2 linked regions of the Canis lupus familiaris genome follow. The protein of the gene in region 1 interacts with the protein of each later gene in a pairwise test. Links are inferred from orthologs where the notes say so. Each region holds a gene or a part of one and is shown on either strand. Other genes may lie near its edges.

What was found.
Region 2: the proteins of PPFIA1 (region 1) and PTPRF interact in a two-hybrid assay, tested with the Homo sapiens proteins (2 studies listed by BioGRID). The link is inferred for Canis lupus familiaris from reciprocal best matches to the Homo sapiens genes PPFIA1 and PTPRF.

Annotation. Positions count from the first base shown.
Region 1 is NC_049239.1:48,437,557-48,445,238, forward strand, and holds part of PPFIA1 (liprin-alpha-1), read right to left. Parts: intron 7,239-7,682; coding exon 7,212-7,238; intron 2,545-7,211; coding exon 2,369-2,544; intron 2,257-2,368; coding exon 2,159-2,256; intron 1-2,158. UniProt on the Homo sapiens protein: May regulate the disassembly of focal adhesions. May localize receptor-like tyrosine phosphatases type 2A at specific sites on the plasma membrane, possibly regulating their interaction with the extracellular environment and their association with substrates.
Region 2 is NC_049236.1:16,716,047-16,723,728, reverse strand, and holds part of PTPRF (receptor-type tyrosine-protein phosphatase F), read left to right. Parts: intron 1-2,009; coding exon 2,010-2,279; intron 2,280-3,749; coding exon 3,750-4,331; intron 4,332-4,546; coding exon 4,547-4,683; intron 4,684-5,084; coding exon 5,085-5,229; intron 5,230-7,682. UniProt on the Homo sapiens protein: Possible cell adhesion receptor. It possesses an intrinsic protein tyrosine phosphatase activity (PTPase) and dephosphorylates EPHA2 regulating its activity.

The sequences.
Region 1 (7,682 bases):
AAAACAATCTCAGAGTGGCTGCAGACAGCTCTTTTCATCACGTACGCCTTGTAATGCAGGATAAAGATTCCTTCCGCAGGCCTGAACCTCCAGTTCCTGACATGAGCCGCACAGGCACAGGGGGCAAAGGCCCAGTGGGCAGATGACCTCTAGGGCACGTGCACACTGCCGCCCTGGCTCTTTTTTGTCTGATGGAGACCGTCCTATTGGAACTCACTCTCCCAGCAAAGCCTGGAGCAAGGAAGTTACCAAACACCGAGTTTCTAGGAAAGAGAAAGCGAGGGGGACCCGGCTTCAGAAGCCATAAGGACACACCAGGGACACACCGGGTATGACTTCAGCTCTTCTGAAATACCTTCTTCCCCTTAAAGAGAGGCGCTGGCACCGTAGCTGGGCATGTTGTCAATTAAACACAAACCCCTCCCTTACAATCCCAAGGACTTTTCTGTTGTTGCATTTTAAAAACAGAAAAACTTGAATATATTCTCCAGTGTATTAGACACGGTAGGGGAAGATCTTATATTTATGCAAACTAATAAATTATTAAATTTGCTTTAGTAGAGATCTAAAAATAGCCACCCTGTAAAAATATATCCAGATGATCGCCAGTTACTTTCAAAAACAGCTTTTGTCAACTGTGAAAGATTTAAGACAGAAATACAAAACAAATGAAACAGATTTATGTATCTCATTTCCCACGTCCTTTTCTAGAAAAAAAAAAAGAAGAGATGTACAGACACGGGTGCACACACACATAAAATATTTAGAGATTGTTACCATATTTATATGTTAAATGTATTATTTTATATGTGTATAGAATACATATCACAAATGTTTGCTTATGGTTTTTCTTGTGATTCACACTAACTCAATCATGATTAGACTATCCTTCAAGTGGGCCGTCTCCCCAACCATATTTTTATCTTTAACTTCTGGCCTCGTAAGGATAAGGTATGAAAATAGCACATACAGGACCATGGTAGTAAGGATTCCATAAATTAACCTATATGCTTAGAGTTGGTCAATAGGCCTCGTTTGCTATAACCATTCTTAGTGATTTCTTTATACTGAAAATTGGGGGAGACTGTACTTTGAGCTTAATTGTTAATGTCTTATTTCAAAGCAAACTACTACACCCGCTCACTCAGATGTGCCCTGGGTGGGTAGCTCCCAACAGAGAGAAGCATCTGCCATCTCCTGGCTGAGCACCCTCATCCCTTTACCTAAAATGCCTCTGCTGGCACCCCCACCCCAATAAGAGGCTCCCATCACCTTCAGGGCCCAGCTGCCACGTTAACCCTGTGCCATTCCCTCAGCCATGGGAGCAGAGCCACACTCTTTTACTGTGGGCTCAGGGCCTTGGATAGAGAGCAGTATTTTTCATGCTGATGCCAAGAATGCAGGGGCCTGTTCAGCTCTGCTCTGTTGCTATCTAGTGGCGTGTGGCAGCAATTCTCAACAAAAGAGGACATGTATCCTTACAACAGGAAGTGTCTGAGGTCACAGGAAAATGCTCACCCTGAGACCCAGACCCTACAGACTGCCACAAGCACAGACAACCAGGCACAGGGTCTCCAGTCACAGAAGAGGGTCTGAGAGGCACCCAATCCCTCTCTCCTCTGTAATGATGCCAGACTGGTTTTCTCCACTAAAGCCTTTCCTCATTATTTTATCGTGTTTGTTTAATTTTAATTTTTTAAAATTTTATTTTGAAGTCATCTCTACACCCAACACGGGGCTCAAATCCACAACCCCAAGATCATGAGTCACGTGCTCCATGGATAGAGCCAGGTGGGCACCCCTTGTGATTTTTAAATTTATTTTAAATTTATTTAGCTTCTTTTTTTTTCCTCTTGATTTTTAACTTTTTCTTAAATTTTTATTAAAGATTTTATTTATTTATTCATGAGAGAAACAGAGAGAAAGAGAGACAGAGACAGAGACACAGGCAGAGGGAGAAGCAGGCTCCCTGCAGGGAGCCCGATGTGGGACTTGATCCCAGGATCCCGGGATCACACCCTGAGCCAAAGGCAGACGCTCAACCGCTGAGCCACCCAGGCGTCCCTCCTCCTGATTTTTTTAAAAGGAGGCAGTCACTGAGCTGTCAGCATCATGGGAAGCAGAAACATAGTGCATCCATGGCACATAATGTACTTGCCTTTGATTTCATTCTGGCTTTCTTCTCTCTTTCTCTCCAGTTCTTTTCGGTCATAATTTAATCTCCGTAGGCACATAATTCCACACTGGAAACTGTTTCTATTAATAAAACCAACAAACCAAAAAAAAAAAAAAAAAAAAAACCCAGTTAGCCATGGCAGCGGTGTGAGCCCCTGGAGTGAACCAACAAGGGGCACCATGCAGGGCGTACCTGTGGAAACTGTCGACCATCTTCAGCTGGCCCCGCAGATCCTTTTTGGTCAGGTGGTCCAGCATGCGTGCGTCTACCAGGCACTCCATGAAGTAGCTGCGGTACTGCGCCAGGCCCAGGCTGGGCAGCCACTCATTGCCAATCCACTCATGGTTCATGTCCCCATAGGCAAGGGTCTGGTTGCAATAATTAAGCACATCAGTTCAGAAGAAAAGTCATGGAAGAGGTCACAAGGGTCATTTAAATTATCTTTAAACTAGATTTTCAATCTGTTCCATATTCTCAAAGGCTAAATTAATAACATCATTTTTTATAATTTCAAAATAATTTGATCTCCCATTTACTCTTATATTGTCAGTAAAATTTTGCACAAAAGGAATTATACCATTACAAATTTACGACTCATTTGTGCTTATGAATTTAACGTATTTACCAAACAAAGCACAGTAAAACTGACTGGTTATGCACTGTCTTTCTGAGCTAGTTTTCATGTATAATGATCAACAAAGAACAATCACGGCTCATGAACAAGTTTGAAGAATCATCCAAGTCTACTCATTAAAAATACCTCTGGCTGGCTTTCATTTTATTTTTAACACTTTGTTTTCTATATTTCATTAATAAAACATCTGTTAATTTCAAAATCAGATTTTAAAAAAGTGAGTTAAAACACAGATTTAAAAGAAGAGATGAACATGGTAAGATGGAGAGGACACAGGAGACATCCCTCCCCACCACCATCCATAGTTTGGTAACTGACTGAGCAACTGGGCCAAACAACAGGCTTGCACAGATGGAGAAGCACTGAAGCCGCAGTGTCAACCAACCCGACCCAACTGATACGAGACAGCACTCCACCCAAAAGGAGTGCACACAGAACATTCTCCAACACAGACAAATCTCCATGTATTTAAAGAGACTGAAATCATACCAAGTATATCTCCTCTAACCTTAAGAGAAATTAAATTAGAAACTCATAATAAAAAGACATTCAGAAAACTCCCAAGTATTTGGAATTAGCACACTTCCAAATAACCTATGTGTCAAAAAAAAGGAATCACAAGGGAAATGGGAAAACATTTGGAACTGAATGAAAGTGAATATGCAAGCGACACCTGGCTGGCTCAGTCAGTGGAGTGTGTGACTTGATCACGGGGTTGAGTTTGAGCCCCACACTAGTGCAGAGATTACTTATAAATAAAACCTTAAAAAAAAAAGTAAGTGCACAAACAATACATTCATAAAATTGTGAGACACAGCTGGAGCAGTGTCCTGAGGGCAGTTTACAGTATTAAGTGCTTATGTTATAAATGAGGAAAGATTGTAAGTCAATAATCTAAGATTTTACCTTTAAAAACTTGAAAAAAAATGAAATTCACAGCAAGTAGAAGGAAGGAAATAAAAGAGCAGAAATCTGTGAAACAGAAACCAGAAAAATGGTAGAAAATAAAACGATGAAAGTAAAACCTGGATTTTCATAAACATCACTAAACTCGACAGACCCCTACCCAGAGTGATCAAGAAGAAAGATACAAAACACCAACATCAAGAATGAAAGAGGGGGCATTGGCACAGACCCTACAGACACTGAAAGGGTAATATGGGAAAACTGTGGACAGCTATAAGCAACCTGGATAAAATGGGTAAATTTCATGATAGACATAATGTATGAGAACCACTCAGATTACCCATACCTGAACTTGAATTTGTAGCTGTAAACCACACACACACACACACACACACACACACACACACACACACAGAGGTGCAAACTCTACACTGCATGCCTTCACTGTTGAACTCTACCAAACGTTTATTTAAAAAGTACCAATTCTATGCAAACTATTACAAAAAAAATGAAGCAGAAGAAATATCTTACTCATTCTCCAAGAGCATCATTATCCTGATAAGAAAACTGGACATATTACAAGAAAACTACAGACCAATGAGCAGCTCTCATAGACACAGATGCAAATTTTCCTTAACAAAATATTAGCAAATCAAATCAGTAATAAATTAAGAGTAAGATATCATGACAAGTGGGGTTTACTCCAGGAACATAAGTTGGGTCAATATTTGAAAATCAGAGAAATTCCCTGTATCAAAGGACTAAAAAAGAAAAATGACAGACATGTGAAAAAGGTGTGTGATCAAATCATCACTCATTCATGGAAATCTGGGCAATCTAGACACAGAAGACAACTGCCTCAGCCTGATAAAGGGTCTACAAAAAAATGTAGCGCTGATGGCACACTTTGTGGTGAAAGACTGAATGCATTTTTCCTAAACTCAGGAACAAAGAAAATGAAGGATGTCTGCTCCCACCACTTTCATTCAACCCTGACTGGAATCCCCAGCCATTGTAACAAGGCAAGAAAAAGAAGTCAAATCCGTATGGGTTGGAAAAGAAGTAAAACTCTCTTTGTTTGCAGATGACCTGATCATCATTATTAGAAAATGGGATATAGAGCAGCTGTCCGGACTCAAGTGAGTTTAACCTGGTAGCAGGATACAAGGTCTATATACAAACAAAAGTGAACTGTATTTCTAAATACTTTTAGAAATGAGCCTGAAATGGAGATTTAAAAAAATACCATTTGTAATATCATCAAAAACCATGAAATCCTTGGGGATAAATCTGACAGAATATGTGCAAGATTTCTGCGATGAGAAGTAAATGAATAGCATCAAACAAAGGTACTGGATGTTCTTCAGTCCAAGAAGCCTAAGCTATAGTCACAGGAATTCTGTAGTTGCCTTGCGGAATCCTTGGAAACAGTAACTCTCAGCTAGCCACAAGGTGAGGGTTGAAAACACAGCCTCTGATCTACTATTTACACCAAACAAGCTAAAAGAAATGAGTCAAAATTTCAACAAGAATGCTCAAATTCAATAGAAAAAGAAACTGTTTCACTACTTTCTCTAAATAACCATGAGTGAGAAAAGCAGCAAACATTTTTGGAAAATTGTCACAGGGTCATGTTTTTTCACTCTTTCAAACCTCACTCTCAATATCATAGACCTGACAGACACTTAAGTGTGTGAATATGTCACTGCTTTCTTCCCTCTGTTTATGTATCCTTGAACATAAAATGCAAAGAAATTTCTCAACAGACAATTCCATGGGAGCAGAGCTCTCCTTAATGTTGTTTATTCATTACATACTCTAGTCCCACTTCTTAAGTGATCTGTAATGTGAGCTCCAGGGGAACCAGGCTCAAAGCCAGGGAGATCCACACCTCCTGGACTATGGTCACAGCCTTCTGAAGGGAGGACACAACAGGGATATCTCATGGTCAGAGAACACCTGGACTGCAAGAGACTGCCACTGCATGGGCTCTATTTTTTCCAGCAATGAAATGAGAACACAAATACAATTCAGCTTTGTAACCTCTGTGAAATGTGAGGGATGATGGTAGGTGGCACCAACAGGCAGCTCCGTTTTGCAAAGAACACACTGATGCTACCTGCTAAGTGAAGGCATCCATGAATTGACCACACCTTGATGTTTTCCTCCCCTGAGTGCCCAAGGGCATCTCAAACTCTCCCTTGGCTTAAGAGCTGGTCACTATGTAACAGCACATGGAAGGTGCACTGTAGGACTTCCACCCTTGGCAGCAGGTTAGCAGCTGCACAGAGACCATGATGCCTCTTCATTCTCCTCTCCTCTAGAAGAGGGATGGAGTGGAAACCATCAATGCAAGCTAATTCTGACGTCATTGGCACAGCTCGTCCTTGTTTATGTTTCCACTGCAAAGAGCAAACATTCAGCTTGTTTAGTTTACAAGTCTCGCCCCAATATAAGGAGTTTCATATGGAGGTGCTGCCAAAGTTCTCCTTCTTAGCGTCCAACACACTGATGTTTAAGCAATTACAAAATGCACCCTTTTTGATTCACTGATGGTTAGGCCCTGATTCTGAGCAGGCGAAATGATCAATGAGGATATGTATCTGGAGTAGTGGCACAGAGTGCTGAAATCAAAGGGGTTGAGAGGGTGCTCACAGAATGTTACAGCCACTCTCCTCTTCTGCTTTTTAAAAAAGTGATAATATTGGCTATAATTTAGGAGTACAGATAGAGGAGAAGAGCTGTTTCCACCACTGACCAGAAATGAGGAACATCAGATTTAAGATTAGTTTGATTTTTTTCAGATATACCATATCCTTTTGAGATCCTTGAACATGATGCCATTAGTAACAGCCTCAGGACGAACCGCCTGGCCGCGCCCTCACAGCCTCCGACTTGGCACTAAAACAGAATAGCAAGTCAGGCAGCAAGGTTGCTAGAATCACAAGTAGGAAACCACTCCTTTTAATCAAGCTGTCTCAAATCACGGCTGCAAAACAGTCATGACAGAGCTTTTGGTGAGTTGAAGAACCCGGAAGCTGAAAATTTGAATGTACGTTTTTAAGGAGAGAGGCTTGATTCCTGAGAATCCCATGAGTGAGAAAACGTCTCGATCAACACAGCACCAGGGCAGCACTTAGTCACACCCTGATACGCAGACAGGGAGGGAAAGCCCCTGTGCCAACTATTGTGCTGGGTCCTTATCCTGAGAGCTGCCAAAGCCATGGCACTCTGCAGGACAGTCGTGTGCTAAAGAAGTAATCTATGTTAAACAGAATAAACCGCCATGGTGCCACGTGAGAAAGGTTCAAAATTGTCCATGAGACGTACTCTTTAATCCTATGCTTCGCTCTGACTAATGCTTTAAATCATCAACAATATTCTGCACAAATTAAGATGTTAAAAATGTCAAGAAAAGTCAATTACAAGCTTTCATACTCCAGCTCTTTTGCTGCGGTACATATAGTGAAGAGTATATTATAGAGAGTCTCCAACCTGAGCCCAGCTTCCCTCCTCATCCTCCTGGTGTTACGAGGTTAGGAATGCAAAAGAACATAACTATTAGTATTGGTGAGCTGAGTGATGCAAGCAAATTAATGTTGTAGGGAAGGTGCAGTGACTGAGTGAAAGAGTAAAAATAAATAAATCAAAGAATGCATCATGCAAAACTCATGCAAAACCAACAATTCCAATTTCTCATGCAAAGAGCCAATTTCCCATGGCAAGCATGTCCATATAAGGAGAAAACTAAGGCCAGAACATGAAAACCAAGCACCAAACTGAGGTCTCTCCAGAAGGAGATAGGAGTTAAATCTATTCTAAGTAGAGCGAGTCTACCAATTTTAAGGTCCCAAAGAAAAATCTAAAATAGAATTCCATTTCACACATTTAACTAATACCTAATGGAAATACTTATCGGAACAATTTAATGTGAAATGACATTTTTGTTTCCCAAGGAAAAGCCAA
Region 2 (7,682 bases), on another chromosome or scaffold:
TTTAAGCAGTTTGATCAGGCTTTTCTGTTTGTCTCTTAACTCTGCCCTCCACAATAGACTCCTTTATTCTCTAGCATGTGCTCCCATGTGTTAGGAAAGGTGGGCCTCAGTTCCTCTCAGGTCGGCCCCTGCAGTACAGAGAGAAAGTTGTTGTTCTAATGGTCTTTGCAAAAGTCCACAGGCTACATCTCGTTAGCCAGATCTGGGTCACATGTTCCACTTAGCAAGACTAGGGTGGGGAGAGGTGGTTCCTCTAAAGAAAACAAGGCCAGTTCTAGAAGGTAGAACACAAGATGTCCATGAGACGCACCGAAGCCCCCAGTGAGCCTGTGGCACAGAGGGAACTCAGCCCACGGTGCCAGTCACACGTGGCTTGCTTGGGGGTGCTGTGTGGAGGCTTCGGAGTGAGGCTGAGTGAGGAATCCCTCAGGGAACCGAGCAGGGGTTTTTAACAGAGAAATGATGTGAGCAGACTTGCTTGTTTGTGGGGGGCCGGTTCTGGGAGAGAGCCGCCCAGTGCGTCAGTGCAGGGAGAGATGGAGGGGCTGAGGCTCTGGTGGGGCAGTAGCCTCTGGGGTTGGTTCACTCCAAGGCATTTCTTTTTCTTTAAGTAACTCTACCCCCAACCTGGGGAACCTCTGGGTTTGGAGAAAAATTACTGGGTTGGAAAGATGCCTTCGGGCCATCCGTTAACAGGTGATTCCTTGGGTGTCTAGGCTCTGGGCCACAGCTTGACCCCTGTGGCAGTGAGGTCAGGGGTTGGACAAGATGGTGTCTGTAGTTACTACTTCCAGCTCTGATTTTGTGGTTTGGGGCTACACGAGCAGCAGAGTCTGGAACCCATAGCGGAGGTGCTCCTGATGGGACAGCATGGGTCCTTTGCATGCCGGGCGCCCCAGCAAGGGTCCTGGGAGACCCACACACTCTCAGTGAGGCCGTTTGGTCACTCTGCCTCACTGCCTGCCTCCTCCAGCCCTGTCGGTAGGGGTGCCCACGAAGGACACACTTCAGCCCCTGCCCACCAGCTGCATGACCCGTCAGCACGCCAAGCATGCCTGCCCATGGCTAGGTCTTGCCTGACTTCCCTCCCTCTGCATGTTCCAAATGTTTGTACCAAGCTTGCAACTTTGGGGGTTTCCAGGCTGCACCTTGGCCTGGGAAGCTCAGAACAGTTTCTGGCCTGGGAAGCCCAAGGCCGGAGGTCGTGGCCAGGCACAGCCACCCTCTCCCTTGAGACCCTTGTTCATTGGCTCAGAAAGCCGTCTGTTCGGCGCACTCATCATGTTACTGCCATCGTCATGCCCATCCTGCCCGCGGACCACGTCCCTGGCCTGCCCTGATCCCTTGCCCCTGCCCACCCCCTTCTGAGGGGCAGCCCTTCCCCTGGAGTTCCCAGGTTGTGCCTTAAGCATGGCTGAGATCCTGGCAGGCGATTATGCCCCTGCCCTCATCTCTTCCCTCAGGTCACGGCCCAGAGGTGGAGGCCGTGACTCTAGAGAAGGTGGCCACGTCACTCCTGGACCAGCCCTGTGCCCTGCCCCAGATGCTCTGAGGTCCTCCACCCTACGGTGCCTGGACTTCACTCGTGCCCCAGTGAGCCCCTCTGGAGGCCCGTAGTGGGGGTCAGGAGCAAGTAGGGGCAGGCACCAGATGGCAACCTGGAATGTGGCCCTGAGGAGGCCCGCGGTATAGACCTGGGGCCTGGACCTTGCGCTGAATCCCTGTGTGACCCTGGGCAGACAGCACATTTCTAGGCCTCAGTTTCCTAGGCTGTAAAACGGGGGAGCTTGGTTGTGGAATCTCTTGTGTTCCATTCTCTTGAGTGTGGGGGCTACTTGTAGCCAAAAGTGGGGTGGGAGGTGGTAAGCCGGGGCCCTGGTACTGCCCCACCTGTCTCTCAGGTGGGTTTGGCTCTGACAAGAGGGGCTTCCTGGATGAGGGGCCCCTGCCCTTCAATCCTCCCGAGTATTTTGCCCGGCCTGTGAGTGCCTCTCTCCCTCCTCCTGCAGTGCGCCGTGTGGCTCCTCGTTTCTCCATCCCTCCCAGCAGCCAGGAGGTGATGCCGGGTGGCAGCGTGAACCTGACTTGTGTTGCGGTGGGGGCACCCATGCCCTACGTGAAGTGGATGATGGGGGCCGAGGAGCTCACCAAGGAGGATGAGATGCCAGTTGGCCGCAACGTGCTGGAGCTCAGCAATGTCGTGCGCTCTGCCAACTACACCTGCGTGGCCATCTCCTCTCTAGGCATGATCGAGGCCACGGCCCAGGTCACAGTGAAAGGTGAGTGCCACGTGCATGCCTGCTGTGGCCTAAGGCCTGCCTTGGTGCAGAGGGTGACGGGAGGTCCCAGCACCCGTAGCAGGTGAGCATGGCTGTTGTGGGGTTGGATGAGGTTGAGGGGTCGTTGCCCTCTCCCAGGTGCTTCCTGGGGTCCTGCCAGCCCTCGGTGGAGAGAGAGGTTTCTGTTATTCGTGATGTTAGTAATAATAGCTAACGGGTACTGAGCTCCTGGGGGCAGATGCTGTACTGGTTAGCACAGATTGTGCTGGTTAGCACAGAGACTGCTCTGTTACGCTGGGAGGTAGACGTTCTCATTCTCTTCTTACAAATGAGAGAACTGAGGTGCAAGGTCATGCAGGAGTCAGTGACAGGACGGGGACTTGAACCCGCGGGGTCTGATGCCGCAGAAAGGCCCCCGAGCCACGTCCTGGTGCCAGACCCTCAGCTTCATCAGCCTCATGTCAAGGCTGCAGTGAAAGAGTGGCCACAGAGAGTGGGCTCTCCACCAGGGCCCCAGGATGGGCACGCACACTCCTCCAGGCTCCGTGCTTCCATCCTCCTTCCTCAGACCCATCCTCCATTCTGCAACTAGAATGATCTTTTGAAGATACAAAGCAAGATCTCCCCACTGTTTTAAGAAACTGCCTTCCAGTGACTTCCCATTGCTTTCAGGGCAAAGAGCAGGATCCTCACTCCCCTTGCCTGGCCCTCCTGGCTCTGCTGGGTTCCTTCCGGCCCTCACCCAGCCCTCGCCGTGCTGGTCCTCTCACTGTCTGGGCCTCAGCTCTCTGAGGCCTTCGTGGATTTTCCCCAGCTCAGCCTCCCGCTCTCTGCTGTCCTCGCATGCGCCAGAGTCATCGTTACGGACTCGGTGCTTTCCACTCACCCTAGAATGTAAAGTCCACCAGAGCAGAGATGTGACCAACAGTGTGACCTTGTGTCCTCAGCCCAGCACCGCGCCTAGCACTTAGTAGGCACTTGATAATTGTGTAATGTTTGGCCTGGGATCTGGGACTGCTCCACCTTCAATTTGAGCCAAGCCACAGGTGTGTAGGGCCAGCAGCCCCGTCCAGGCTGTCTTAGGCACATCTCTCCCCGACACCAACCCCAGTTACACGTGAGGAAGCGCAGGCAAGCCCCAAAGGCAGACCTCTGCCTCCCAGCCGGCGCGCTTTCCATCTGCAGGGACCCGGCCAGGCCACGCCACCTCTGGGGCTGTTGTTAAGTGAGGAGCCAGTGAGTTCTGGAAGTGATGTGGGTAGACCCTAGATGACCGAAGGCCCCTGAGGGCTCTGACAGGTGTCGCCATCCCCCGCTAGGTGCCCTTTGAGGTCACCTCGAGCTCCCCAGGCCATTTTTCAAGGAGGCCCGTGAGGGCCAGCTGTACCATGGGTAGTTAACACCCGGAGCAGGATTGGCCTCTGGGGTCCTGACCTCGGGCAGCTCTGAGCCTCCCGCTTTGTCTCCCAGCTCTGCCGAAACCTCCAATCGACCTCCTGGTGACTGAGACAACTGCCACCAGCGTCACCCTGACCTGGGACTCTGGGAACTCAGAGCCTGTGTCCTACTACGGCATCCAGTACCGCGCGGCGGGGACGGAGGGCCCCTTCCAGGAGGTGGACGGTGTGGCCACCACCCGCTACAGCATTGGCGGCCTCAGCCCCTTCTCCGAGTACGCCTTCCGCGTGCTGGCGGTGAACAGCATCGGCCGGGGACCACCCAGCGAGGCGGTGCGGGCACGCACGGGAGAGCAGGCGCCCTCCAGCCCCCCGCGCCGCGTGCAGGCACGCATGCTGAGCGCGAGCACCATGCTGGTGCAGTGGGAGCCGCCCGAGGAGCCCAACGGCCTGGTGCGAGGGTACCGCGTCTACTACACTCCCGACGCCCGCCGCCCCCTGAGCGCCTGGCACAAGCACAACACGGACGCGGGCCTCCTCACCACCGTGGGCAGCCTGCTGCCCGGAATCACCTACAGCCTGCGCGTGCTGGCCTTCACCGCCGTGGGCGACGGCCCTCCCAGCCCCACCATCCAGGTCAAGACACAGCAGGGAGGTGGGTGCGGGCAGCACGCCGGCCTGGCCACTGCGGCGGGGCCTTGGGGGCTGGGGGAGGCTGAGGGCCTGTACCCCGCCGTGCACGGTCACCTGGGATGCGGGACAGGGTCCCGGGGCTGTCTTCCCATGCCTCCTTTCTCCGGGTGCCACCGGCCCTCGTGGGGAACTGGCAAGGCTCACGGCGCCTGGCGTGGGGGTGTGGGGGTGTTGCAGTGCCTGCGCAACCGGCGGACTTCCAGGCTGAAGCAGAGTCGGACACCAGGATCCAGCTCTCGTGGCTGCTTCCCCCGCAGGAGCGGATCATCAAGTACGAGCTGGTGTATTGGGCAGCAGAGGATGAAGGCCAGCAGGTGGGTGCTCAGCGGGGACAAGAGCAGGGAGGAGGGCTCCCCTGGATCCCGTAGGCTCTGTGCGGGGCTCCCCCGGGCAGACTTTCTGGATCCTGTGGTTGTACGGACATGGCCCCCAGGGGTGGCCCTGGGGCTCACGTGGCCAGCGTGGTTCTATAGTCTTTGTCCCCACTGCTGGGCGACAGTCCCTCGGTCTGCCCTTGGGTCTCTCCGGCTCTGCGGCTTACCTGGCACTCACAGAGCTGTTGTCTCAGATGCTCATGGCCACGGAGTCTGTGCAGTGGCCGTGTGATGTGGAGGCGGCCCTAGGCCACAGTGGGTCCACAGGGGCCAGCCGCAGCCCAGGTTGGGGAGCAGCCTGTGAGGTCAGAGCAGTCAGTGAGTGCTCCCTGCTCTTCCAGCACAAGGTGACCTTCGACCCCACCTCCTCCTACACCCTGGAGGACCTGAAGCCTGACACACTGTACCACTTCCAGCTGGCCGCCCGTTCCGAGATGGGGGTGGGCGTGTTCACCCCCACCGTTGAGGCCCGCACAGCACAGTCCAGTAAGTGTCTTCTGAGGCTACGCCTCCTGTAGCTGGGCCGGGGCAGAGACACACACGCCCTTCTCCCTCAACCGGGGGGGTGGTCAGGTCTGCTGGGCCCCGGATGGGCTCTTGTCTGGGCTCCGGGTCTGGACTCACAGGGGCAGGTAAGTTCCCACTAGTCTGTGTCCAGGCAGTTGCTGCCCATGCCGTTCCCCACCTGACTTCTGTCCCTCCCTCCCCCAGCCCCCCACCAGGTAAGTTCTGTGTCTGTGACTCATCCCCCTCCCCCGCCCCCACCCGTCTGCGCTGGTCACACTAGCTGACTGGGCCATGCTCAGCGCTGGGACAGCCACGCTTGCCATGTCTCAGACATGTCCCCGCTCTGGCAGCTGTCCTCCTGCTCCATATCCCCACATCTCATCTCCCCTGTCACCTGCATTCCCTGCCTCATGCCCCGCACCACGGGAGGAACATGGGAGCTGTGTCATCACACTGAGCCTACGGCACGTAGGGACACGTCTGTGAGAACGAACCCGGGTGGCAGACTGTCCACGTGCCTGCCTTAGGACCACGCGGCCTTCCGCGTGTGGGGCTGCCTGCTGTGTGGTTATCGTATTCCTGTGTACGTGAGACTAGTGCTGTGGACCTGCGTGTGACCCTGTGTGGCCACCTGGCAGGGCCGCACCCGTATGAGTGTCTGGTGTGCCCCGGGATTGGGTGGCTGTGAGGCTCTGTGTGCTAACAGGGGCCATGGATATGTGGCTGGACAGGATCATGACATTGAGGCAGTTACAGCACGTGTGACAGCCTTAATCACGGCAGTGTCTGTGAGGCGGTCCATGTGCCCCCAGACTGTGTAGATGCGACCCCATGTTCACGGATCTGACTTACAGGCACCTGCTGCGCTCCCACTGTGCCCATGCACGGAGCAGGGCTGGCAGCATGACCCCGACGTGGCCCGTACCTGCAGGGAATCCTAGTCTAGTGGGGCAGATAGATGTTCAACCTGCAATTATCCAAATGAGCTTTTAATTACATTTGTCTGAAGTGCTGCGGAGGAGACAAACAGTGGAGAGGTGCTGGGATTGGAGCTTCATCTGGTCTGAGGGGGCCAGGGGGGCTTCCTTGGGTGATGTAGGCCTCACGCAGAGGGGCAGCAGGTGCAAAGACCCTGAAGCGGGAAGGCACTTAGTTGTGGTTTGGGATAAGCAGCAGGCCATGGCAGCTGGCCACGGGTTAAGAGGACAAGACAGGTAGGAGGGCTGACCCAGCTGCTGGGCAAGCATGCATGGGACAGCCCAGCGGGATGCCGGACACCAGTTGGGAGGCTGTGCAAGAGTCTAAGCAAAAGACGGCAGCTCAGATGTGGTGATGGTGGTGGATCAGATAGCCGTCTGGGGTGCCAGCTGCCTGGGACTCGGTGACGGCTTGGCTTTTGGATGCTGAGGGAAAGGAGAGCATCAGGCGAAGTCTGTGCTTCTGGTGTGCAGACCTGGGAAGAGGGGAGGAAGTAGGGCCAAAGCAGGCACCTCAGCCCGGGGCCTTGTGCCAGCCGTGCAGGTGGCGATGCTGAGCTAGGGGTGAGGGACTCTGAGGACAAAGACCAGAGGTAGTGGGAAATCCCAGAGAGGGGAGTGTCTCGGAGGCTGGAAGAAGAGAGCAGAAGGAACAGAGCCGATGCTGCTGCTGAGCAGTCAGGGCCAGAGGAACGCAGGAGGCAGGAGCGTCTGCTGGATGGAGGACCTGGGGCGAGGGTTGTGAGGCCTAGCCGGAGGGAGGGGACTGCTATAGGTAGAGGCTGAGTGCTGCAGGCCCAAGGATGGGCTTTTGTCTTTAAAGATAGGAAATTTTTGAACTTTTTTTTTTTTTTTAAGATTTTATTTATTCATTCATGAGAGACACAGAGAGAGAAGCAGAGACACAGGCAGAGGGAGAAGCAGGCTCCCTGCAGGGAGCCTGACTTGGGACTTGATCCCGAGTCTGCAGGATCAGGCCTTGGGCTGAAGGCGGCGCTAAACCGCTGGGCCACCGGGGCTGCCCTTGAGCAGTTTAAACGTGGTGAGGAATGAGTCCATTCTGAGAAGTCGGAGAAGTCGAAAATTCAGGAAAGACAAGGATTTTGGAGGCTCAGGAGGTAGGGGGAGGGGACAGCATGGATGAGAGAGATCCACCTTGGACGGGAGAGCACAGCTCCCTCCTCGTGGGAAGCAAGGGCAGCTCAGCGAGATTGCAGTTGTTCGGTGGGTTTGGTAGCAAGAGATAGAGGGAGCTGCTGGTGGGAGGCTTCAGTTTTCTCTGCAAAGTGGGAGACAGTTGTGTGCTGAGAGCTGGAGGTTAGCGGAGCGTGGAGGAGGTTGAAAACGTTCTGTGTACAGCAGCAGAGTGAGCTGGGCAGAGAAGAGAGGCTGCAGACAGCACACAGGGCCCAGGTGAGGCCACTGGGGACTTTGCACACAGGATGCCAGCCTTCC